Linked DNA regions of Tribolium castaneum. The protein of the gene in region 6 purifies or fractionates together with the protein of the main gene of each other region. This does not show direct contact. Links are inferred from orthologs where the notes say so. Each region holds a gene or a part of one and is shown on either strand. Other genes may lie near its edges.

The links.
Region 1: the proteins of polo (region 6) and Mcm6 purify together in Homo sapiens (affinity purification with mass spectrometry; 3 studies listed by BioGRID and IntAct, with this or other methods). This does not show direct contact. The link is inferred for Tribolium castaneum from reciprocal best matches to the Homo sapiens genes PLK1 and MCM6.
Region 2: the proteins of polo (region 6) and serine/threonine-protein phosphatase 6 regulatory ankyrin repeat subunit A purify together in Homo sapiens (affinity purification with mass spectrometry; 6 studies listed by BioGRID and IntAct, with this or other methods). This does not show direct contact. The link is inferred for Tribolium castaneum from reciprocal best matches to the Homo sapiens genes PLK1 and ANKRD28.
Region 3: the proteins of polo (region 6) and Cep97 purify together in Homo sapiens (affinity purification with mass spectrometry; 4 studies listed by BioGRID and IntAct, with this or other methods). This does not show direct contact. The link is inferred for Tribolium castaneum from reciprocal best matches to the Homo sapiens genes PLK1 and CEP97.
Region 4: the proteins of polo (region 6) and shtd purify together in Homo sapiens (affinity purification with mass spectrometry; 3 studies listed by BioGRID and IntAct, with this or other methods). This does not show direct contact. The link is inferred for Tribolium castaneum from reciprocal best matches to the Homo sapiens genes PLK1 and ANAPC1.
Region 5: the proteins of polo (region 6) and SMC1 purify together in Homo sapiens (affinity purification with mass spectrometry; 3 studies listed by BioGRID and IntAct, with this or other methods). This does not show direct contact. The link is inferred for Tribolium castaneum from reciprocal best matches to the Homo sapiens genes PLK1 and SMC1A.
Region 7: the proteins of polo (region 6) and ldbr purify together in Homo sapiens (affinity purification with mass spectrometry; 3 studies listed by BioGRID and IntAct, with this or other methods). This does not show direct contact. The link is inferred for Tribolium castaneum from reciprocal best matches to the Homo sapiens genes PLK1 and DBR1.

The regions. Positions count from the first base shown.
Region 1 is NC_087400.1:6,009,953-6,012,504, forward strand, and holds the end of Mcm6 (DNA replication licensing factor Mcm6), read right to left. Parts: intron 2,545-2,552; coding exon 2,443-2,544; 3' UTR 501-2,442; downstream 1-500. Other genes in the region: transmembrane protein 181, read right to left, coding at 1-239, 289-446. UniProt on the Homo sapiens protein: Acts as a component of the MCM2-7 complex (MCM complex) which is the replicative helicase essential for 'once per cell cycle' DNA replication initiation and elongation in eukaryotic cells.
Region 2 is NC_087401.1:12,711,891-12,715,390, reverse strand, and holds part of serine/threonine-protein phosphatase 6 regulatory ankyrin repeat subunit A, read left to right. Parts: intron 1-1,423; coding exon 1,424-1,820; intron 1,821-3,406; coding exon 3,407-3,500. UniProt on the Homo sapiens protein: Regulatory subunit of protein phosphatase 6 (PP6) that may be involved in the recognition of phosphoprotein substrates. Involved in the PP6-mediated dephosphorylation of NFKBIE opposing its degradation in response to TNF-alpha.
Region 3 is NC_087402.1:12,399,459-12,403,468, reverse strand, and holds the start of Cep97 (centrosomal protein of 97 kDa), read left to right. Parts: upstream 1-1,210; 5' UTR 1,211-1,309; exon of another isoform or gene 1,310-1,375; 5' UTR 1,376-1,400; coding exon 1,401-1,404; intron 1,405-1,453; coding exon 1,454-1,599; intron 1,600-1,647; coding exon 1,648-1,908; intron 1,909-3,246; coding exon 3,247-3,443; intron 3,444-3,516; coding exon 3,517-3,600; intron 3,601-4,010. UniProt on the Homo sapiens protein: Acts as a key negative regulator of ciliogenesis in collaboration with CCP110 by capping the mother centriole thereby preventing cilia formation. Required for recruitment of CCP110 to the centrosome.
Region 4 is NC_087397.1:4,714,695-4,718,736, forward strand, and holds the start of shtd (anaphase-promoting complex subunit 1), read right to left. Parts: upstream 2,801-4,042; 5' UTR 2,639-2,800; coding exon 2,615-2,638; intron 2,568-2,614; coding exon 2,207-2,567; intron 2,158-2,206; coding exon 1,753-2,157; intron 1,707-1,752; coding exon 1,414-1,706; intron 1,367-1,413; coding exon 1,218-1,366; intron 1,118-1,217; coding exon 914-1,117; intron 863-913; coding exon 673-862; intron 632-672; coding exon 471-631; intron 424-470; coding exon 26-423; intron 1-25. Other genes in the region: Caf1-105 (chromatin assembly factor 1 subunit B), read left to right, coding at 3,122-3,244, 3,292-3,672, 3,726-4,039. UniProt on the Homo sapiens protein: Component of the anaphase promoting complex/cyclosome (APC/C), a cell cycle-regulated E3 ubiquitin ligase that controls progression through mitosis and the G1 phase of the cell cycle.
Region 5 is NC_087394.1:36,167,408-36,170,564, forward strand, and holds the end of SMC1 (structural maintenance of chromosomes protein 1A), read left to right. Parts: intron 1-1,435; coding exon 1,436-2,601; 3' UTR 2,602-2,657; downstream 2,658-3,157. UniProt on the Homo sapiens protein: Involved in chromosome cohesion during cell cycle and in DNA repair. Central component of cohesin complex. The cohesin complex is required for the cohesion of sister chromatids after DNA replication.
Region 6 is NC_087398.1:11,004,490-11,007,807, reverse strand, and holds part of polo (serine/threonine-protein kinase polo), read left to right. Parts: intron 1-1,825; coding exon 1,826-2,223; intron 2,224-2,275; coding exon 2,276-2,493; intron 2,494-3,318. UniProt on the Homo sapiens protein: Serine/threonine-protein kinase that performs several important functions throughout M phase of the cell cycle, including the regulation of centrosome maturation and spindle assembly, the removal of cohesins from chromosome arms, the inactivation of anaphase-promoting complex/cyclosome (APC/C) inhibitors, and the regulation of mitotic exit and cytokinesis.
Region 7 is NC_087394.1:25,730,405-25,734,169, reverse strand, and holds ldbr (lariat debranching enzyme), read left to right. Parts: upstream 1-1,418; 5' UTR 1,419-1,490; coding exon 1,491-1,687; intron 1,688-1,733; coding exon 1,734-1,885; intron 1,886-1,928; coding exon 1,929-2,169; intron 2,170-2,279; coding exon 2,280-2,612; intron 2,613-2,724; coding exon 2,725-3,238; 3' UTR 3,239-3,265; downstream 3,266-3,765. Other genes in the region: FAD synthase, read right to left, coding at 1-212, 377-1,138; ubiquitin carboxyl-terminal hydrolase 10-A, read left to right, coding at 3,453-3,470, 3,576-3,711. UniProt on the Homo sapiens protein: Cleaves the 2'-5' phosphodiester linkage at the branch point of excised lariat intron RNA and converts them into linear molecules that can be subsequently degraded, thereby facilitating ribonucleotide turnover.

The DNA.
Region 1 (2,552 bases), on a different chromosome or scaffold from region 6:
CCCACAATTGCTGCGAATAGGTGACTAGTGACGGAGTCTTCATTATAAAAGGGCCAGTCGCTATCGAATTACTGTGATTATCTTTACTTAACAATGTTTTAGCGTCGAGTTCAGTTGTACTTGTTATAGGAGGCCCAGCGATCCCTATGAACAGTGCAAGGCCAAAACAGGCAAAAAATGCTATAAACACCATAACAAACTCCCTCTTATGCATCGAATATAAGCGCATATAAACCGATCTGGAATTTCGCTCCTTGAATTTTTTTTTTTTGGTAAATTTAGACTAACCTTTCACATCGATCGTGGTGATATGCCGGGGCTATGTATTTATCAAATTCGCTAAACAAGTCACTGAATTGTGACAGGACGTTTCGGATTTTTAAAAGCCAGCCGCCGGAAGGCAAGTGGTAGGAATATCCGAGACCAACTCCGTCTAATTTTGCCATTTTTCTAGAAATGATTGTGAAGGGAAAATTTTTGGACGGGTTATTGATACGCACCTAGATTTTAATTTGGGATAAATTATTCAAGTATAAAGCTTAATCTAGATCAACTGATTTGTTGTAATAGGTAAAAAATAGTGTACCAACAGGTAATTTGTACAATACTGGAAGGTTTGCTCGCATGGCGGGTTTATTGATCTGCGCTAAGGCTAAACGCGACAAAGTGATGGGCAGTCTTCCAAATGTTGTTTCATGAGCATTTTGAACAAAAACTAGCGCAAAAATGTATTAATATAAACAGTTTTTCGAAAACTTTCCATAATTTTGTGAAAAAAAAACATCAATAAATTCTACCAAAAAATCTGATAATGCGTGACTTTATGTCCAAAGCTTCCAATTTTTAACACTTCAGGCCTTATCTTTTGATAAAAAAGCTATTAAGTAATATATGGTTATGTATAAATGAGATCAAAGCTGATCTATCTGTGTCAACTATTATAATTGACAAAGATAAAATTAAAAAAGGCTTTTATGCAGGAAATGTTTAAAAGTAAAAAAAAAGAATGTTTTCCATGTTTTTTAGGACAAAAAAACATCTTTGCTTACACACAAAACATTTTTTGAAAGATTCTATACGGTTTTTAAGGTTTTTTATTCAAAATTTCTTTTTTTCCTGTTTTTAAAGAATATAAAACTTTGGTTTCGGCTAAAAAACATCTTTTTGACCTTCGGCACACTCAGTCCGTGAACGTACAGATTTCATATCAATGAATAGATATAATTATCTTTATTTTATTTTTTTGTGCGTTTTTTTTTTAAATTCATCCTCCATCCTTGGGTAAAACTGTTGAAAATATTTAATTATTATTAAATGACAAAACAGCGCTTCCTGTAATATCAATTTTATTAAGCTCGTTTTATTATTAAGTTTTATTTATGCTGTCAATTATTATTATACAGGGTTGGGCAAAAGTATGGAACCAAGCGTTTTTTGCCTAAACTATGTACCTTACGAAAAAAATAATTAGTACATCATCAACTACTTTTAAAATGTGATTACTTTTCAAGAAAATTTTTTTTCGAAATTCCGTTTAGTTTTTGAGTTATCCAAAAAAATATATTTTTTTCAAATGGCACCCTACTACGGCGATTTTTTTTGGTAAAAGATTATGCTCTAAAAATCACCTCTAAATCAATAATTTTGTTTTTAAAATTGTGTAATTTTAATGAATTACTAAAGTTGTGTTCCGAGCTCAAGGTTTTTCAAAAATCTCTTCGGCCAAATTCGGAAAATCGTCGTAGTAAGCTCGGAACACAATGTAAATCAATTATTAAAAAAAACACTGATTGAAAAATAATATTATTAAATTAGAAGTCATTTTTAGAGCATAATCTTTTATACAAAAAAATTGCTGCAATAAAGTGCCTTAAAAAAAATTAAATAAGTAACCTTCAAAATAAATACAATAACATCTAAGGGTGCGCTAAAAGTATCCCGAAAAAAATTGAGAACAATTTATTATCTTAGGGGTTTATACAGGGTGAGTCAATAATGAGTTATTTCTGAATTTTTGTTAATATGCAACCAATAATACTGATTCCAGCTGACCAGATCGGTACTCATTTAAAAATTTCAAAATTTATCCCCAATTACATTGTTCTGAAGATAAAAAACCAATGTTGATTCAATTGATGTTTTTAAAAATTAGTCATTTGTCATTTGTTTCAAAAAACTTCTTGTACTCTCCATTAAAAAAGCAATATTATTTAACAATAACTGTTACTACTGTTTGGGTGCTTAAGTAAAATCAAAAAGCCCTTTATTATCAACTGTTTTCCAATTAAAATAAAATACTAGAAAAAAATAGTCTACCAATGATAACACTTGGTAAGTTATTCTCGTTTGTTTTTTTCCAAAATTATGGAGTAAAACTTAAAAAGGGGCAAATTATTAAAAAACTTATTAGTACTTAACTTTTATTAAAAAAAATAGGTACACTCAATCGATAATATAATTGGGATGAACCACCAACATGGCATCCTCCTCCTCCTGCTGATCCCTCCCAAGCCCCGTCCTCGTCAAGGGAATAATAACTTGATCCTAAAACC
Region 2 (3,500 bases), on a different chromosome or scaffold from region 6:
TTATTTTTTTATGTTCATGGTTTGCATATAGCTGTTCTCTACCTTCCTTTCTTCCTCTTCCTTCTCTCTTCTTTCTTAAATCCCAGTTGTTATTTCTTCGGTTTTTCATTCATTATTTTTTTTTCTTTACTGTCTTCCTTTCTCTGTTCTCAGTTAGAGAAAGTCAAGAATCATTCTTGATCATAGGTCTATAGAAGATTTTTTCTTATATCTTATGTCCTTGGTTTGCGTATCGCTGTTCTCTACTCTTCCTTTCTTCCTATTCCTTCTTTCTTCTTTCTTAAATCACTTCTGTTATAATTCCTGTCTTTTTCACTACTTATTTTTTTCTGTTTACTGTCTTCCTTTCTCTGTTTTCTCAGTCAAAGACAATCAGAAATCATTTCCGGACATAGATCTATAGACCCATATCCAGATTTTTCTGGTTTCTGGTTTCTGATTTTCTTTGACTTTTTTACTTATTTTTTTATGTTCTTGGTTTGCGTTCCACTTTCTCTCTCTTTCTTCCCCTTCCTTCTTTCTTTGTTCAATCTTATCTTCAATTCTCTCTTCTTTTTTAACTTGCACTTCTGTTATCTCTCCTGTTTTATTTACTTACTTCTTTCTATTCACTGCCTTCCTTTCTCGGTTTTCAAAGAAAATCAGGAAGCAATAATTGTGGACGTAGATCTAGAGGAACTTTTTTTCTTATTGATTGTGTTCTTGATTTGCATGCCACTGTTCTCTACACTTTTTTCTTCTTTTTCAATTTTTTTATCTTCCATTGTCTCGTTTCTTAAACTCCAGTTGTGTTATCTTTCACGGCTTCTTTACTTACTGTCTTTTTTCTGTTTACTGTTTTCCTTTCTCTGTTTTCTCAGTCACAGAAAATCACGAAGTTTTTATGGACATTCGTCTGTAGAAATTTTTTTCTTATTTCTAATGTTCTTGATTTGTGCATCGCTGTTTTCTACTCTTCTTCTTCCGTTTTCTTTTCTTCCTTAAATCCCACTTCTGCTATCTTTCATGTCTCCTTTCTTTCTTTGTTCTCTCAGTCAAAGAAAATCAGAAAACATTTCCGACCATAGGTCTATAGAAACTTTTTTTTCTTATTTTAACCTAAGACTCTGTAAAGACAAAATCACTCCTCAAAATTTTTAACTTTTTTTACAGATCTCCTGTATTTGTTCATTCTTCAAAATGTATTTCTTTGAAAATTATTTGTTTTTAAAAAGGAACAGTTATTATGATTATAACAATCGTTTCTGTGGAAATAAATTCAACTTTCATTGAAGAAACCGGAGCTTCAGTATATTTATTACTTGATTTTTTTTTTAAGATTCCTTTCGATTATTTTTTTAACATTCCCAGAAAACACTATTTGTTTCAATACAGAATTAGTTATTAACTTTAGTCCTTCCAAAAATGTGTATTCAAATTCCAGTTCGGTGGAATGTTTGGATTTGCTTGTGAGCAACGGTGCCAAGTTTCAACTAAAAGACAACATCGGCCGTCTTCCCTTGCACTATGCCGCTTCCCAAGGCCACTACCAGTGTGTTTTCACACTTGTTGGTATCGGAAGTTCGACAAATGCTGTTGACATGGAGGGCTGTACTCCCCTACACTTAGCCTGTGGTTACGACACCGAAGGCAAATGCATTGAATACCTCCTAGAACACAAATCCGATCCTTTCGTCAAGGATCGGCGTGGTTTCACCCCAATTCATTATGCCTTGGCTGGAGGCAACATAGCTGGAGTTAGCCGCCTGTTGGGAGTGATTAACAATTCGATGATTTTCCAAGAGCCAGACATGCCCGATGTGACTCCACTCCATCTAGCGGTGGGTTTATGAACCATATGAACCCTTCCAGTATTCGGAAGTAAAATTACCGTTGGGGGCGCCACTGAGCTAGGTCGAAAACAGTAACCATAGATGGCGGGAAAATGTTTATTCGGATATTTTGAGCGTTGTACGAATTTTGGGGCTTCACAATTATTACATTGCCTATGCGGAATGATTGCATCTTTGATGCAAGAAACTTATGTTGACAAATGAGAGATGACGAGGAAAACACGAATAACGAATGACTGTTTGGTTCACTTTCTTTATTGGAAAATTATTACAAAGACATTGAAAAGCCACCTTTTGGCATAATTTACGTTTAAATGTATCAGCAGTTGTTAATCTTTATTGTAGTTTTGTAGATTTACCGCAGCATTTCATGATTTATTCAGTGGAAAATTCTAACCTAAAATTCACACACTTCACTAATTTATTGGTTTCTTGAGCCAAACTTTATGTTCGCTGTGATCCATTACTTATAATCTTTAATTAGACAACTGTTTGATAACAATTCGTAATAAAAATTTAAATATTTTTCACTTTTTATCCACTTTCAAGTTCCAACAATAAACACTTTATACCACGAAAAACTACAGAACCAAAGTCAACGCTAGTATTTACCACCACGTACTTTTAAAGTAATTCTTTCTATTGTAAGTAATTAACACTATACACGCAAAATTGTTGAACAATTCATTAAATGTCAGTTAAATGTGGCATTACAAAAATTTCTTTACTGTTTTCGACATAGTTCAAAAGTCATCACCAGAGGGCGTCTAGTTAATTTTATTTCCGAATTCGGAAGTAAAATTACCGTTGGGGGTGCCACTGAGCTAGGTCGAAAACAGTAACCATAGATGGCGGGAAAATGTTTATTCGGATATTTTGAGCGTTGTACGATTTTTGGGGCTTCACAATTATTGCATTGCCTATGCGGAATGATTATCGTATCTTTGATGCAAGAAACTTATGTTGACAAATGAGAGATGACGAGGAAAACACGAATAACGAATGACTGTTTTGTTCACTTTCTTTATTGGAAAATTATTACAAAGACATTGAAAAGCCTACCTTTTGGCATAATTTACGTTTAAATGTATCAGCAGTTGTTAATCTTTATTGTAGTTTTGTAGATTTACCGCAGCATTTCATGATTTATTCAGTGGAAAATTCTAACCTAAAATTCACACACTTCACTAATTTATTGGTTTCTTGAGCCAAACTTTATGTTCGCTGTGATCCATTACTTATAATCTTTAATTAGACAATTGTTTAATAACACTTTGTAATCAAAATTTAAATATTTTTCACTTTTTATCCACTTTCAAGTTCCAACAATAAACACTTTATACTTCGAAAAACTACAGAACCAAAGTCAACGCTAGTATTTACCACCACGTACTTTTAAAGTGATTCTTTCTATTGTAAGTAATTAACACTATACACGCAAAATTGTTGAACAATTCATTAAATGTCAGTTAAATGTGGCATTACGTAAATTTCGTTACTGTTTTCGGCATAGTTCAAATGTCATCACCAGAGGGCGTCTAGTTAATTTTATTTCTGAATTGTGTTATTTTTAGGCAAAACTGGGCAATATTAACGTAATGCGTGCAATTTTGAGTTACTACCACGACGTGAATTTGCAAACTGAGCAGGGCTTGACGCCTTTGATCC
Region 3 (4,010 bases), on a different chromosome or scaffold from region 6:
CGTACTTTACACCGTTTTTCTATCAATAAACTTTAATCATTTGAGAAAACCAAGTCATTTTCTTCGTTTGCAAATAACTCCATATTCATTAGGTGTCACTACTGCCAACTTACCCCAAATCATTAACATTTACTTAAGCACGGTGCAAGACACAACACGTACACAGTTTAAACGACGGTATAATAATGCATAAAAAGCCCCAATATGGGGGCACGTGTTGTATTGATTTCGGAGATAAATTAACAGCAAAATTGATTTTTACCAGCGCAAGGTTGGCAACTATTATGCGTCATGTCAGCTGTCAATTGATAAGGGAGCTCGTAAAACTGAAAAACAGATGCGTTCATTATCAGAACAGTACAACTGAACAACAAACCAAAATAAATCAATCATTCATTTTATTCGGTAATTTTTAGTCAATAAAAACTGAGAATTTAATTTAAACGGCACCATCTCTGACGAATTATTTTTAAAAATTTTGAACAAGTAAACCAAAAATAAATAAAATAGTCTTTTCTTCACAAAACGAATGAACCAGCTTGAAATTGTTTAGATCCAATTTTATAATCCTTTTGTGAATTCTAACAAATTCTGTCCAAAATAATGTATTATACGGACTGTATATAAAAGAGTGCAGGATCTCATGTGGTTTTGGAATTTAAATTTTCTGCATTTAATTATTTTATTTTTAAGAAATTTCTGAAAAGTACAAATTTTTATCTACTCAGGCAATCAGTAAAACCAATTTGACCAATGTTATCATATACGAGCATTGTTCGTTTTTTCTGGAAAGAAGCGGCAATCTTTTAATACCTACTACGATACCGCATTCATATAAAAACAGATGTAGCTATAACTTCAAAAACGTGCTTTAACATTAAAAAACACAATCTTTGCAAAACTAAAAGTAAAGTAATATTCAACTAATCTGAAATTTTTTTGAATGTCTGTCTATTCCAGCAGTGTCCTAAAAGAAACTTGAAATCCTAGTTCACAAACGGGCTTAAAAAGGTAACAGAGCATCATCTTAGCAAACATATAATTTTTGACTTATTTTTGACGGAATGTTTCTCAAATCGAGCGAAATCAACCAAAGCAGGCTGAACTGTTATTGATTTTTCTGACGATGACAGGCTTTAGACTTGAACGTTTTTAATTAAGTTAACCATAGGACGTGATCGTTATTGTTTATATGGAATATAATCCAACACATGCACTTACATTTTCTAACCAATAAGTTAAACTTCTATAAGTGAAAGGAACACAACGATTCCTGCTCACAATTTTAAAATGTGGAACAATTTAATAATCAGCTGATCATCGCCGTCCTTCTATTAGCGCCATCACCTACCTGTCAATAATATTTAGCAAATAAAAAAATGCGTATAAGTTAAATATAAATGGGTAAGTAAATGGATTTGTAGTGAATTTTCAATGTGATTTGCCGTTTCAGAGGAAATATCAGATTTGTCGAACAAGAAGCTCAAAAAACTCGCCAAATTCTCGCCTCAGGAATCGCAAGTGATAACAACATTGATACTCGACGATAACGAACTGCAACGTTTGGATAACATCGACTCGTTGTTTCGGCTACAGAAGGTAAAATTGTAGCTTTAAGTGCGCGACGTTTTAAGGGCCCCCTTGTAGCTGTCAGCAGTGCGCAATCAATTGTTGCGCATGTATGGCGTATGTCGCCTCCATTCTCTGCACACTTTGAATCTCGCTCATAACGGAATACTCACAATCGAGGGGCTCAAGGATCTGGTTAATTTAAAGTGGCTTTGCTTGGCTGGGAATAGTATAAAAACTATTGAACATCTCAATACTAACACGAATTTAGAGCATTTAGATTTGTCGGAGAATAACATTACGCACATCAATGATTTAGCATTCTTGAAAGATTTAAAGGTTAGTTCATAGCTTGCTTGATAATTGAGTTTCTCTTAAATGTGGCGCCATATTGTGTTGTTACCATGGTTACCGTATCGTAACCATGATAATTGTAGAACGTGGCACCCTCTTTCGGGAAATTTCGTGCGGTGCAGAGATAAGGTAAGATAGACTGGCAGCTTTCTCACTCTAGATAAGCAACAAGAGGTACATACTGCCCTTCTTATCAACTGGTGTGTACTTATTTTTCAGTGGCCTTATGTTCAAATTTAAAAAATACGAACAGTTAAAATTAACAGGAGGAAAGAAAGGTTAAAAAAAACATTCAGCGTTGAATGTTAAACTCATCGTACTTCTAAATCATCTAACTGAAGAATTTCATAAATGGGAAGACAATACAATAATGAAATTATTTTTGCTATACTTACAGCGTGATTCAAACGTATCCAACCAACTCTCGTATGGTGATATGCGTCGTTCAGTAAAGAAAGTCCATTTTTTCCAAGCAACTTGCCATTTAATTTTTAATATATTTTTGTATTTGTTTTCCTTAGCAGCTATTTTAATTGTTGTTCTTTTGTTTTTAGTCATGTCAGATTTAAATTATTATATAATTTGCCAAATTTACGTGTATTAAATGATTGGAATATCGCTGATTGGTGATTTTTTAACAGATGTCCGTTTAATGATTGCATGATTTGTCGTTTTCGCTAAATAAATTAAAAACAATTTGACCTGAAAACCTCAAATCTAAAAACCTAACTTTGGAAAGCTACGATATATAGCGTGAAAAAAGGTTCACACAATTTTTTGCCATAGGAACTTTGACTCTGATGTTTTTTATAGCTGCCCAAGAGACGATTCGAGACTTTTGAATCACCGTGTGTATTCCATTTCGGCTCATAGTAAAATTGCAACCGCGCATTTGTATTTTTTGGAGAGAAAAATGAAGTACAAATTGAAAGTTTCTGTATAAGAAAAAGAATTCTGTGTTAAACTAAATCCCAACGACACACTTTGAGAAACTCTCAATTTGTGCTCCATTTCATTCAAAAAATGCAAATGCGCTGTTGCAAAATTCTACTATAAATAATCTATAATAACTAATTTTGAGAGAAAATGCGACGTTGGCGTTTTTATAGTTTTGAGAAAGCGTATAAAATGTATTTAAAAAATCTATTCGATTTGCTGTTGTTTCAGAAAGTATTGTAAATTTATATTACCTTGTCTCTGTGTGAAATTTTCTTTTGGCGCCATCTTCTCTCGTTAGCATGGTGATCAGATACATGTAACCATGCTAATTGTTGAACCTAGCGCCCTCTTTCGGGAAATTTTGTTGTGATTGTTTGATTTTAGGAGCTTTTTCTACACAATAACAAAATTAATCATCTTAGACAGAGTGATCGTTTCCTGCCTACTAGTTTAATAACCCTGACTTTGGCTAATAATAACATTGAGGATTTGAATGAAATTTCTCAGCTTGTTCATCTTGTTAATCTACAAAATATTTCCATCGCTAATAACCCTTGTGTTAACTTTGGCAACACTAACATGTATCCTTTGTGACATTGCTTATATTTTGTTTGCTCATTTTTATTGTTTATTCAATTTCTTAACTTAATCCAGTGGATTTGATTACCGTCCGTTTGTGATCAACTGGTGTTTGAACATTAAAACAATTGATGGTTATGTAGTGGATGCTATTGAAAGGTAAAAACTTGCAGCAAGCCACTTTTTGACATATGATGGTCTATTATGTTTGCAACCTTTAATTATTTACAAATAATCACAGTTTTAATAAAAAAAAGTAAAAAAAAACATTAAAAATCGAAAGAGGTTTTATTGACTTCTAAATCTCTTTAAAATTTCGAGATTCTGATTGAAACAATTTTATTCTTAGTTGTTTATCTTACGCTGATGCATCTAAAAATTACACTTGCCATCTAAAAAAAGCACCAAATTGTTAGACTTGATTTAAATATTTTCAGTAGTATAAGTTAAAGATATTTTTTGTTTAAAGTGTTCATCACATTTTTCGCTGAAAAAACGCTCAAAAAAAAGTCAAAAAGATTGTAATTTTAGACTTTATTTGGTAATGTTCTGGTTTGTTAGTGCATGAA
Region 4 (4,042 bases), on a different chromosome or scaffold from region 6:
ACGATTTAGAACGAAACCAAATTACCTAAAAGCAGCGTTTCAAACGCATTCCATTCTTGCTCGAGATTCATGTCTTGGGCCCCTGGTGCGTTCCGAGTGGCGTACCATCTGGTCAAAACCACCGAAATGGTGTCACGGTTTAGACACTGCTTTAACGCCATTACACAATTTTCAATTAGTGGGTGTGCAGTCAAGGGGGGCAGAGTGATTCTGTAGTAAGTGCCATCAGAGTATCGTAAAGTGATGCGGTTTTCGATCGGGTCACGTAAACCGTTCAGGACAGCTTTGGGCAAATTGCTTTCGTGCTGGAAGTTCAGCTGGAGGATGTTAGACACGTTTGTTGTCTCGGGTAACACCGGTGATAGCAAATGGTCGTCAAACTTGGGGTCTAGTTGTTTGCAATGGGGCAAAAGACTGCTCCGTCTGGAATGGCAAAGTTGAGCGGTTTGGAGGTTTTAATTGGGAAATACCTCGGGAAAGGTGAGTTAAACTGAGCCAGGTTGCGACGGACGTAGGGCGAGGGGGTGTGCTGGACGAGGGTGCCCCCTATGTGCAGCTTCCCCACTAGGGTAAGGCCAGAGTAGAGGCTGACGTTGCCGTTGTGTTCCAGGACGGCCAACATGTGGCACATCTTAATTACAATTAGGAAAAAATTCAATGTGTGATACTCACAGGAATAGGCACTGCGTCTTTGACACTCAAACTGTTAACCATTCCAAAGCGAATGTTACTCGGGTCTGTAAAGTCGATTTGGACTAAACACAACTGGCACTTCACTGGTAAAATGTAGCAAAGGTACCACTGGTGTGTCAAGTCGTCGCACAAAAATACTTTAGATGTGGCACTCGACATGTTATCATCTCTACAATAATCACTTGATCATTGAATATTTTTTAAATAAAAAAAACTTTACTGAGTCAAATTCGGATCAGTCCATAGGTGGTCCAAACAAATAAGAGGGTTTGTGTGCAGGTAAGACATCAGTTTAGAACAGTCGAAAAACGAACAGTTGTTTGGTGCACAATAACTGGGCCCACTTGGAATAGAAGTGTTCAAACGCGAAGCTCTCTGCAACCACGGACTTCCGATAGAGGAAGTGGCAGGTGACTGGCATCGACTATAAAGACCCAAATTACACTTTTAGTATAATTCAGTAACAAAACCGATTAACTTGCTATAATTAGTTCGTATTATAAAATTTGGAAAAATGGGTCAACCTGATTGTGGCCATTGAGCTGTGCGATTTCGAGTGGTGCATTTGGTTATAAAAACTTGCTACGCTTCCTGGCCGGCTATTGATAGGGCTGGGGACGCTTAAATAATTCGAGTTTTTTCCGCAATCCCACATTGAAAGACGACTTTTCAACTGTAATTATTAATTATCGCAAGTGTGCGACTTTTAATCTCTTTTACCCTGTTAGATAAACTGGTGGCTGAAGGGAAAGTGCTGTTCATCCTGTTTGCAAACTCTACCTTTTCGTTGATTGTTACTTTTCTAATAACGTAAACACTGTGTTGCCTGGTTTGAGTATCGTAAATCATACAAATGCTTGGATTTTCGCTGGTGTAAACCAATTTAAAACTATTATTATTCAGGACTTGGATATGTGTGCCAACATTTATTGCAACAGGACAGACCTCATCAAAGGGAAAAGCTAAGGAATAGAGCGAAGCTCTGTTTTCAAAATACGTTGTAGAATTGTGGCCTTTAAAGATTGCGTTAATAAATGAAAAAAAATGCAAAATGCAAACCTTCGTTTTCCCGTTCGAGAAAAATTCCGTACTTCGTATTCCACATTTTGCTAATTTGGAACGGGATAGCAGTGACGAAATCTTCACCTTTTTGGGTGAAAACGTGAATATTATGGGCATTTATGATGCAAATTGCAGGAACCGGCACGCCTTTAGTTTCCTCTTCTTTGTTAGAAAAAGGAAAAGCGTCGGTTTCATATCTGGGGTGCTCGCAGTGGAAAGTGCACCAAGCGGCGTGTTTTATAGGGAGAAGGGAAGTGTAAGCACAAATTGTTTTTCTACCGTTGTCTAAATTGTCACAATTGTTTAGCCCTCGGGACCACACTGCCGTGTGTCCCTTGACATAGAGTTCATCCTCCATAAAACTGACGTGACTTTTGGCAAAAGAACCCTCATAGCTTGGCCCTTGGGAATCAAAAAAAAAATAAAAATGCAAAAAATTGGTCCCACGTACCCCCATGAGCCAAGCTTTCATGCTTGAGTGAAAATTTCGAAAAACTCTCAGATATTCTCTTGCTAGTCTTTTGTGAATGATCGCAGCTTTGATAGCTGTAAGACTTGTCATTTTTACAGTCCTGATTCACACTAACTTTAGTACAAGAACTGTCTTTTGTCCCGTAGCACCAACTTGCCGCAGACTCAAACAAGGGGGTTTTCCGCAAAATCCACCATTCACTGTCTTTTTTCTCTTTTATTGAAACCTTTTCAAATTTATCAAGGAGTAGGTCCTCAGTTTGGCCTAAATTTTTTTGCGGGGGCACCCCATTGGGGCCTGGGTGTTTCAATGTTTGCTGCCGTCCACTTGGAACAAACTCCTGAAAAGTTTACGCAAAATATTGACTGAGTGAGAGCACCCACGAACCTGTGGATCTGAGGCAGCAATCATTGTTTCTACTTTCTCATCCAGATTTGCTAAATTTCAATAATGAATCAGAATGGTAACCAACATAAATCACGACTATTTTTCATTAAAAAACGCTTTTTTTAAACCGAATCGGCTCCTCTAACCTTCACAAACTTAACAGACAGCGCTGGCAATCTAAATGAAAGAAACCTAAATTTACTAGAATTTACAGACTTTACTTGAGTATTTAATTGTTAAATAGAGTATTTGCTTAATTTTTTATTAATTTGTGTTAATTTATATTCGTTCACGAAAAGGTTTGTAATTTAATTCAATTCATTCAATAGAATTGCTCATTTTTATACAAAAAAATTACATTTGTAAAAACAAAATCCCCAACGAGGAGACTAGTAAATTGGCGCCAAATGGTCGTAATATTTTTATTGGGTTGTTGTTTTGTGTAAAAAACGCCTTGTTTGTGTCTGCTACTATTCGTATTTCACAATTTAAGCCGCTAAACGTAGAATGAAGTGTTCGATACCAGAAATATCATGGCACAACCGGGAGCCCGTCTTGAGTGTTCATATTCAACCCGTTTTGGAGAAATTTTATAGGTTAGCAACTGGTGGTGCCGATTGTCATGTTTTGGTAAGCTTCGGTTTAAAAAAATTAAGTCTTGTGACGCTGTGCTTCAGATTTGGCAATTAACAATAAACGAAAACGGTAGTGTTAAAATCGAGGCTTTGTCTGATCTAACACGACACCAAAGAGCTGTGAATTCAGTTCGGTGGTCACCAGGGGGGCAGCAGCTCGCGACAGCTGATGACGACGCAAATATCATTATTTGGCAACTTAAAACCGATAATATCCCTCTACTGGAAGGAGAAACGAACGATAAAGAGACATGGATAGTGCATAAAGTAATGCGGGGGCACAAGGAAGACATTTACGACTTGTGTTGGTCACCCGATGGCTCAAAACTTCTATCGGGGTCTATAGACAACACTGCCATTTTGTGGGATTTTCAGAAAGGCAAAAATGAACAGATTTTAACCGACCACAAGGGATTTGTCCAAGTAAATTATTGCTAAATAAAAATATAGTGTTTGTAATTTTTCGAAATTTGAAGGGCGTGTCGTGGGATCCCAGAGGTCAGTTTTTGGCCACAATCAGTACCGACCGCATCTGCCGCATTTTTGAAAATACCGGTAAACAGGTGAAGGCTAGAATGCACAAGGGTCTATTACCGGTGCCGGAAGATCATTATCTTCACAACAAAGAAGTGAAATATTTTCATGATGACACGTTCAAGTCATTTTTCAGACGCTTAGATTTTTCACCTGATGGTTCTCTCCTGGCTGTTCCTTCAGGTCGCATTGAAATCGAGGATTGTAAAAAAATTCTCAACTGTACCTTGCTTTTTGCAGTAGATAACTGGGGAAGGTA
Region 5 (3,157 bases), on a different chromosome or scaffold from region 6:
ATATTAGTAATTAATTATTTTAAGCCCAGCAAAATGCTCTGTAATTTGAAACTTTCTAACATAGTATTTGCGTTTTATTAAAAAAAAATCTTTTTCCTAAATCAGCCTCTTCATTAATTTAACCTTCTAATCATTGTATTGTTTACAATCTTTCAAAAAAGTCGTAAATTTTGAAGTAATTTTTTCTCAAATTGTATCATCTTCAGTCTCAGACGACGTACTGCTGCTTTTTATTTGTTACATAATTTATGTAGGGAATTAAATAAATTAAATGGGCGAAAATTGTGGCTTTAAACTTGAAGGGGAATTAGGTTTTAAATATTTATGAAACAGAGTTTTGAGTTAAATTCGACATGGATTTTAAATGAAGAATTAAATTTAAATAAATAAGTAGAATAAAATTTCACTTTATTCATGATAAAAACTACATATGGTCAAAAATTTAATAACGTAAAACATAATTACAGTTATAATCCTAACTAAAATAAATTTAAACAGTTAGCATTAATAAATTTTTTATAATTATTGTCAATCACTTGGAAAAAAGCTCTTTCAATGAAACGACCGTTCAGGAAACTATTTTGGTTGTTTGAAAAAATATTGTACTTCTAAAGAATTGGGTCAGTCATAAAATAATTGAAACTGGTTTATAATTATTTAAAATACTTTTGTGTTTTTATAGTTATGTTTACACGTAAAAAACTTGGAAAGGGCTAAAAAATACTTTGAAACAGTGCCATCTTACAGAAAAAATACGGGATATTCCGAACACAAAATTATACTTTAGAATTGGGAACAAATGTAAAAGAATATTAGTAATTAATTATTTTAAACCCAGCAAAATGCTCTGTAATTTGAATCTATTATTAAAAAAAAAATCTTCGTTCTCTAAATCAGCCTTTTCATTAACACCTTCGAACCATTGTATTATTTACAATCTTTGAAAAAAGTCGTAAATTTGGAAGTAATTTTTTCTCAAATTATATCATCTTCAGTCTCAGACGAAGTACTGCTGCTTTTTATTTGTTATATAATTTAAGTGGAAAATTAAATATGTTAATGGGCGAAAATTGTGGCTTTAAACTTAAAGGGGAATTAATTTTTAAATATTTATGAAATAGAGTTTTGAGTTAAAGTTGACATGAATTTTAAATGAAGAATAAAATTTAAATACATAACATAAAAATATAATAACGTAAAACATAATTACAGTTATAATCCTAACAAAAATAAATTTTAACAATTAGAATTAATTTTTTTTTATAATTATTGTCAATCGCTTGGAAAAAAGCTCTTTCAATGAAACGACCGTTCGGAAAACCATTTTGGTTGTTTGAAAAAATATTGTACTTCTGAAGAATTAAGTTAGTCATAAAATAATTGAAACTGGTTTATAATTATTATTTGTAAATGTAAATAATGGTAAACATTTCAGATAATGTAAGCCGTTGGGAGCGCACCGTAAACGACGAGGAAGAACGTTTGGAAACGTGCAAGAAACAGGAGCAGAAGCAACGCGAAGAAATCGACAAAGACTTGCAACAAGTCGAGCAGTTGAAAGCACAGCGACTCCACAAGAAGCAGGAAGTCGATGGTATGGAAGAAGAGCTGGGAAAAGCACGCAGAGAAGTGGGAAGCATTGCGAAAGACGTGCAAGCCGCCCAGAAGTCCGTAGTCTCTCTCGAAACAAAAATCGAAGGCAAAAAAAGCGAACGCCACGCAATTTTAATGCAGTGCAAAATGGACGATGTGGCTATTCCTATGATTGTGGGCAACATGGAAGATATAGTGGCCTCAGACCCGTCCCAAAGCTCGTCAGGGGACACAAGTAGCACAGTTCAACAATACGAGAAAGAAGCGAGGATTAAAATCGACTACAACATGTTGTCAGACAGTCTCAAAGACCTGGAGGAAAAAGACGAGATTAAGAAAATGGCAGATAAACTCCTCAGCTCGATTAAGAGTCTCCAAGACACTTTGACCAAAATTCAAGCGCCTAACATGCGAGCGATTCAGAAGCTCGAGCTCGCGCAAGGGAAACTCCAATCGACGAACGAGGAGTTTGAGAACTTGCGTAAGCAGAATAAGAAAGCGAAAGCAGCGTTTGAGAAAATGAAACAGCAACGGTATGAACGTTTCACGCGGTGTTTTGATCACGTGTCGAACGAAATCGATAACATTTACAAAGCTTTGGCACAGAATCAGTCAGCTCAGGCGTTTCTGGGCGCTGAAAACCCAGAAGAGCCCTATTTGGATGGGATTAATTACAATTGTGTGGCTCCAGGGAAGAGGTTTCAGCCAATGTCGAACCTGTCAGGTGGTGAGAAAACAGTGGCAGCTTTGGCGTTGCTTTTTGCGATACATAGTTATCAACCGGCACCGTTTTTTGTGCTTGATGAGGTCGATGCTGCCTTGGATAATACCAATATAGGAAAAGTGGCCAAGTATATAAGGGGCAAGACTGAGTCTTTGCAGACTATAGTTATTTCGTTGAAGGAGGAATTTTATTCGCATGCTGATTCTTTGATTGGGATTTGTCCTCAGCCGGCTGAATGTTTAGTCAGTCAGGTTCTAACAGTTGATTTAACGAAATATCCATAAGTATTGTTTAATTTATGTTTTTACGTTTCGAGCTTTCAATAAAACTTTGTGTACTATTTTGGGGAGCTTATCAAGTCTAGGAAATGTTTGCTTCTACATTTCTAGTATTAGCACTGAAGTCTTGAACCGATAAAATAGCAGAAAAGTACATAAAGTTTTGACAATCAAAATTTTTCGGATTTTTCGAATTTTTCGGAGCTAAAACAAATACAATTCGTGGCAATAAAGATCGCTACATTTTAATCTTGTTTGTTTAAATAAAAAACATACTTTTCAAGTTTCCATTAACTGCGAAAGCTTGATAACGTAGACCACGGCCACCTAAATTCCAATTCGAACAAATGAGACTTGGCAGCAAATCCAATTCGAGCGAATTGTGAATTTGTAATTATTGATAATAGCGCAAAATTGTGTTATTTTTCATTGTTTTTAGCCTATAAGTATGATAAATAAAGCCCTAAGAACATACCCTACAACTTTTGAGGAAAACTATTGCAAAAAATGTTGAGGTTAGAAAAGCTCGAAGCTGAACCTGTGCCCCACTTTTCATATGGAA
Region 6 (3,318 bases):
GATGTAAATTGTCGTACTTTATTTTAACAATTTATTTACCTAAAATTTATATTTTAAGTGTCGTGTAAAATGAGTAGCTACAAACTTATCTGATATAATGCTGAAATTACCAAAAATTGACAGTTTTTCTGTAAAAGAAAGTGAAAAAAGTTTAATCTGTAAATTTGCCAACCAATTCAACTAAACTGGAGCTTAGAGCACAGGACAGACATAGCTACAAGAAGTAAAGATTATTGTATTTTTTAAAATGTTTTTTTTTAATTCATTAATTTTATTTCAAATTTAAAACTTTAGTTTTTTACAAAAAAGGCTAATAAGTTAATAATACTCTTAAAATAGAATTTTTGTAGAATATAAATAAGATGGGTGAATATTAAGGTAAATTATGAATGGGGGCTGTAATGGGGGCCCGCGAATGAGTTTGGATCCCACGCCCCAACTGGTATCCTTACGCCACTGGTTGACATACTAAGTTTTTTTTCGAAAAACTTCACTAAAATGGACTGAAAAATTACAAATTGATCTTATTTTGTCAATTTAATTCGTTTTTGAACCTGAAACTCATTTATTGATTTAAAAAACTCAAAATAAAAATGATGGATGATGTTGTGTCTGTTTCACTCGATTTTGTTGGTTCTTGAGCGAAATTTTTTGTAAAATTATCTCAAAAATGTTATAATTTTCTCAAAAACGGAGTCATTGCCATTTTTTTTGATTTTTTAAACAGGGTTTTGAGTTTCTTACATAAATATATTGAGCAGAAAAATGACCTAATTGGGCAAAAAAAGAATTTTTTTTTAATTTCTGGGTTTTATTGGCACGTTTTTAATGCAGAAGCGTTGTTATTAATTATTATTTCACAAAATTGTCAACAAAAAGCCAAAAAATCAAGGAAAAATTTCGCGCTTATTCTGCAGCAACCGTTGCATTAAGCATCTGTTGCTTTAATTTTTTTTGCTGTTGATAAGTAAGTAATTGCTGGACGCTGTTTTCAAAACTGCAGACAGATTTTTTCTTTCAGTTCTAGTTTTGAGGTAAAAGGACACAACTTTAATTAGACATTAACTTTTCTGTTGCGTCAGATTTTTTTCGCTGTTCTTGGACGCTGATTTCAAAACTGCCTACAGTTTTAAATGTATCTTTAATAAAAAAGATGATTTTCCTCCGATTAATGCTAGTTTTCGAGAAAATAATCGATTCCCTAGATCATTTTACATTTGTTTACAGTAAAACAATACCACTTTTTTTAGTTTTGCCGTAATTGCTGTTTGAAACTTGAGTGTGAATATTTATACGAGTTTTTGATATTCATCGGGCAATAACTCCGGAATTAATACACGTAACTCTATTAAATTTATTAGTAAATTATTAAGAACATTTCCATTTTCTCGACGCTAATCGATTCCCAGATTATTTTACATAGTAAGTCTACGTTAAAATAGCAAAAAAATAATATAATTAAAAAGTGGCGAGATATTTTTTTCTACGACCTTTAGTTTTTGTGATATAAGTAGCTCCTATTAGCACTTTCTACACTCTTCATAAGCCCTAAAATAAAAACTCGAGCTGATGGACAATCAACTGTTAAATTTACGGCAACAGACAAAAGTGAAATTTTGTAACCAGTGAATTAATAATTGAATCATCTTCACTTTTGTTCCGTGTTTTGTTACCTTATACGTAAAATTGTAATCATTTCAAAACCACAACCAGTTTATTATCTCTGATAATTTGTATTCTTTGATTTGCCATGAGCGAATTTTTAATATACCAAAAAAAAATGCATTGAAATATGTGCTGTAATTTCGGTTATTTTTTCCTGTAGTCTATGATGGAGTTGCAAAAGCGCCGAAAAATGCTCACCGAGCCCGAAACTCGCTTCTACATGCGTCAAATCCTGAACGGAGTAAGTTACCTCCACCAGAGGCGCATCATCCACCGCGATCTCAAACTCGGCAATCTCTTCCTCAACGATGAACTGACGGTGAAAATCGGCGATTTTGGTTTAGCCGCAACGATAGAATACGAAGGCGAACGCAAAAAAACCCTTTGTGGTACTCCGAACTATATCGCACCGGAAATCCTCCAAAAGAAGGGCCACTCATTCGAAGTGGACATCTGGTCCATCGGGTGCATCATGTACACACTCCTGGTGGGCAAACCACCGTTTGAGACACGTTCGCTTAAAGAAACGTACTCAAGGATTAAGAAATGCGAATATCAGTGCGTTGAAGGGATTTATCGATTTTTTATTGTTTTAAAAATTGAATTTTAGTTTCACGACGACTATTTCTCCAGCGGCGAAGAGCATGATTATGCTCATGTTGCAGTCAGATCCGAAATCGCGTCCAAAAGTAACCGAATTGCTACAACACCCGTTTATTACCGATGGGTATTGTCCGTCTTCGTTGCCGGTCAGTAGTCTGACGATGGCACCCAGGTTCCAGAAATATGACGTGTCGATGAGGAAACCGCTTAGTGGAATCAACAACGGTAAGGGACAAATTCTCATATTCGTCAAAATCACACAATTTCTCAAGCTTTCTGGGCAAAGTTTAACCCATCTTTATAAGTAAACCGTTCATTAGAATTTTTTTTTGAAAGTTACATTACATTTTTGCTAGAAATTGGCGAAATTCAACTGTTTCTAAACGTAGTACCTTTTATAAATAAAATTGAGAGAATTTTAGAACTATATCATTGATATTTTCGAAAATCTGTTCAAAATCTGTACGAATTATTATGTAGTTTTATTGGTTAATTTATTGTTATAAGTTGTACACTGATGAAGAAATGATAAACAATAATACAATTAAATAAACTGATGACAGAAAAATAAAAAAAGATTAAAAACACATCAAAGACTTTACTTAATCTGCTATTGTTTTTAACCGAAATTTCGCCAAGAATAACCTGAAATAAGTGAAATATGTTATAATTTCCTAAAGAAGTAGTCAATTCTATATTTTTTTAAATTTCTGAGTTTCTTTCCTAAATATACCGAGCTGAAAAATTAATCTAATTGGGTCAAAATATTTGTTAATTTATTCTAATAAGTTGTACACTGACGCCGAACTAAAAACTTAAGAAAATGATAAACAATAACACAATAAATTGAACAGATGACAGAAAAAAAAACAAAAAGATTAAGAATGCATCAGAGACTTGACTTAATAGTTGGCTTGATAATTGTATGTTGTTAATTTAAAATTGAGAATTAGAATGAAATGCAGCTTAGTATTTAATAAAACTAAAAAGTAATGGGTTGTACACAGAGTTATCAGGTCAGGTCAGGTCAAGTTTTGAAACCAATTTAAT
Region 7 (3,765 bases), on a different chromosome or scaffold from region 6:
TAGTAGCATTTGCACAAGTCAATAAACTCGTCTTGCTCGGGAAAGGGACTTTCACTTTGGACGTAAAGACAGGGAATTGGTTGTGAATGTTGAGGAAATTTTTTCTTGACGACTGTTAAAACCAAATGGAGCAAAACGGTGCAGTCTTTTCCGCCGTTGAAACTCACGAAGATATTCTCTAAACCGTACTGTTGCAAACACTCTTCAATGTTCTGGAAAAAACAAAATTATTTGACGAGTCGCACATGGCTCCTCCAGTTGCCATAGAAACGTGCTGTAACTATGGTAATACAGCAGGACATGAATGGGGATTGTCATGGTGACAACTACGATGAGTCAAACCAGTGGCGGGTACACTGTCTTACCTCTTACTTACTTCAATTGCATGTTTGATGTGTGTTTCATTGCTGGAGTACACGTGTTCCCACACGTCTGAATTATCGATAAATTTTAAATTATAATTTTGAAACCTGTCACTGATTTTCCTCTCAAATTCCACCATTTCGCGCAATTCTGGACTCGACACTTTGAAAGTGTAACACTTATCAGTTTTGCTAAATTCCAGTTGGAGACCATTGGTTTTAAATTCATTTAAATCAATTGTCAAGTTTCCGTTTTTAACGATTTCGATTATTTTTTGCAAGTTTCTCTCTTTCCTATACTTCAATAAATGATTCTTTAAAACTTTGGTGAAACTCTGTTTCAGAAACTTCTCCTTCAATATAAAAATCCTCTGGAAGTAAACGACGGGATAACTGTGTCCCGAATGCAAAATTTTAGCTTGCCGCGGCAATAAGGTCTCAGTTTTGTTCGAATTCTCGCCAATCTCTGCGAGTATTCGAGTTAGGTCATCACTAGTTTCAAGTTCTTGTGAGGTCATTTTGCCAAGTGCTCTGTAAATAACCCCGCATCGCTCACCAACGGCTATTATCATGTCGAAAGACCTCATTAGTGCATGAAGTTCGTTAAAAATCACATCTTCTCTTTCACTGATTGTCGAGACTTTGCCCACACTATAGTCCAAACAGGCCAGTTCCTTGATCAGATATTTGCTAGTATTGTCGGTTTTTTCGCCGGAAAGAACCTCGTCACTAATTACGACGATACCGACGGTCTTCAACGACATTTTTCGCCTCATGACACACAACAGTTTCTCGCAAACGCAACACTTTCACATTACGGTTTTTCAACTTTGACACTGACTTTTTATAGGTTAGGTTGGAAATTTGGCCCCCACTTTGTACACATTAAGCGAATAACGGTAAATGAAAAAACAATTATTTTATTTAACAAGTTTTTTTTTATACATATTTAATCATTGAGATTACAACAGCGTATAATATGTATACTTTTGTTTGTGTGTTTAACGCACAATTAATTATTTTTGTTAGTGTTTTCTTATATCAGATTTCCCATCTGCCGACTTTCCCTCACCTTGGACTTGTCAAACATTTTTTTAACCAACAATTTTTTTTGAAAATTATTTTGAGATGAAAATTGCGGTCGAAGGTTGTGCCCACGGCGAATTGGAAATAATTTACGACACTCTGCAATATTTGGAAGAGAAGGAAGGCTTTAAAATCGATTTGCTCATTTGTTGTGGCGACTTTCAAGCTTCTCGCAATGAAGCGGACCTCCGGTGCATGGCGGTGCCCCCTAAATACTACAACATTTGTTCATTTTACAAGTAATCAAAGTTCGTCCATTTCGTTGCGTTAATAACCAAATTTCAGGTATTACACCGGGATTAAAACAGCCCCAATTCTCACGATTTTTATTGGGGGCAACCACGAAGCGTCCAATTATCTGCAAGAGTTGCCATATGGGGGCTGGGTGGCCCCGAACATCTACTACTTGGGTTATGCCGGAGTGGTCAATATTGCAGGTTAAAATCGCTACTTTGTCTTCTTTAATTAATATTTGTTCAGGTTTAAGAATTGGGGGCATTTCGGGGATTTACAAAGGACAGGATTACATGAAAGGTCACTTTGAGCATTCGCCTTACAGCGATAGTTCAAAACGCAGCGTTTATCACATCAGAAATTTGGAAGTTTTTCGGTTGAAACAACTGTCTCAACCTTTGGATATTTTTTTATCACATGATTGGCCCTCGGGGATCTGGCAATATGGAAATGCGGCGCAATTAATACGTTTTAAACCTTTTTTCGAGTAATTCACAGTAACGGAAGTTTCCCTGTGTTTCTGAAGACATGGCACCAGGGAAATTTTCTTTATTAATCAAGATTTCCCCGAATTTGTGATTATTATCAATTTTTTAGAGAAGATATCAGCAGAGGACAACTGGGTAGCAAACCAACCGAAGAATTGCTAAATCATTTGAAGCCAGATTATTGGTTTTCGGCTCATTTGCACTGTAAATTTGCCGCAGTGGTGCCACACGAGTGTGGCAAAATCACCAAATTTCTTGCACTAGATAAGTGCCTTCCTAAAAGAAGGTTTCTGCAAGTTGTTGATGTACCTCATGACACGAATTTGGAAAAAATTGAAATTAGTTACGATCTAGAATGGTTGACTATTTTAAGATTAACAAATCATCTGCTAAGTGTTAAAAATGTGACCAATTATTTACCAGGGCCTAGTGGCAATGAGAGGTAATTTTTAATCAAAATCACGGATTTTCGTTACTATGGTTACTTGTCTTTTGTTTTCGTAACTATGGTAACAGATGGCGGCACAATTCAAAATTAAAAAAAAAATTTTTAGGTGGTGCTTTACTCCAGACGAGGAGGAAAAATCGTTTACTTTGAACCTGTTTGGTGATCTGGTGGTTCCAAACAATTTCGAGAAAACAGCTGAAGGTTATTCCGGTCATAAGACTAAAAATTTAACGCAACCAGTGCCAGTTTGTAATTCACAGACCGTTTTGTTTTGTAAAAAATTGGGAATCGATGATCCGTTGAATTTAATTCTTAATTTAAGTACAAACTCTGCAATTGATCTTAGTGCAAATAGTTTAGGTGATGATAGTGCAAGTAAGACAACACCGAGAAAAATAGTCTTGGACTTGCCCCAACCAGTGAATGAAAGTGTTCCAACGTTTGTGGACGAAACAATTTCTCAACCGGAATTGAACGAAACTGTTGAAGAAATGGAAGTTCCGGTTGAGGAAAAATCAAATTGCGGTAAAGAAGTGGAAGTTCCGGTTGAGGAAAAACCAAACTGCGGTAAAGCGTTTAAGAGGAGGAATGCGTCAATGTATCAAAATGATGTAAATTGATTTTTGTAAATAAAGATTGAAAAAGCCCGCTCTGCGTTTGCCAACATGACACGCCAAAGTCACTAGATTTGTAATTCAGACAGTTGACAGAATGGAACGTGAAAACTTAACCCCGTGTGTTTAATACTTTTGTTATTGCTCCTAAAATGTTAACTTTCGAGTAGTTGCAGTGAAATGAATTTATCACAAATATGAAATAGCAGATACCGCAATCATGGATCCATTCGAGGCAGTAAGTAGCATCAAAATTCGGTCTTTTTACCTCTCCAGACTTACATAATTTTGGTGGTTTTTGGGCCGGAGTTTGGCCATAATTGAGTTATTTTCGTCGTTTTAGCACAACATTACATTTCTGGATCTCAGCGGGGTTGATGAGCAAGAACGACAGGAGGTTTTGGATTCTCTGTATGCAGAGAATGCCAATGTGCAGCTGCCTTGGAGGGTTTCGGAACATAAAGTCGTCCAAAAGACCGGTATGTGCTTTTTCAATCGATTAATATTCATAAAAAGTAATTCAAAGCAACATA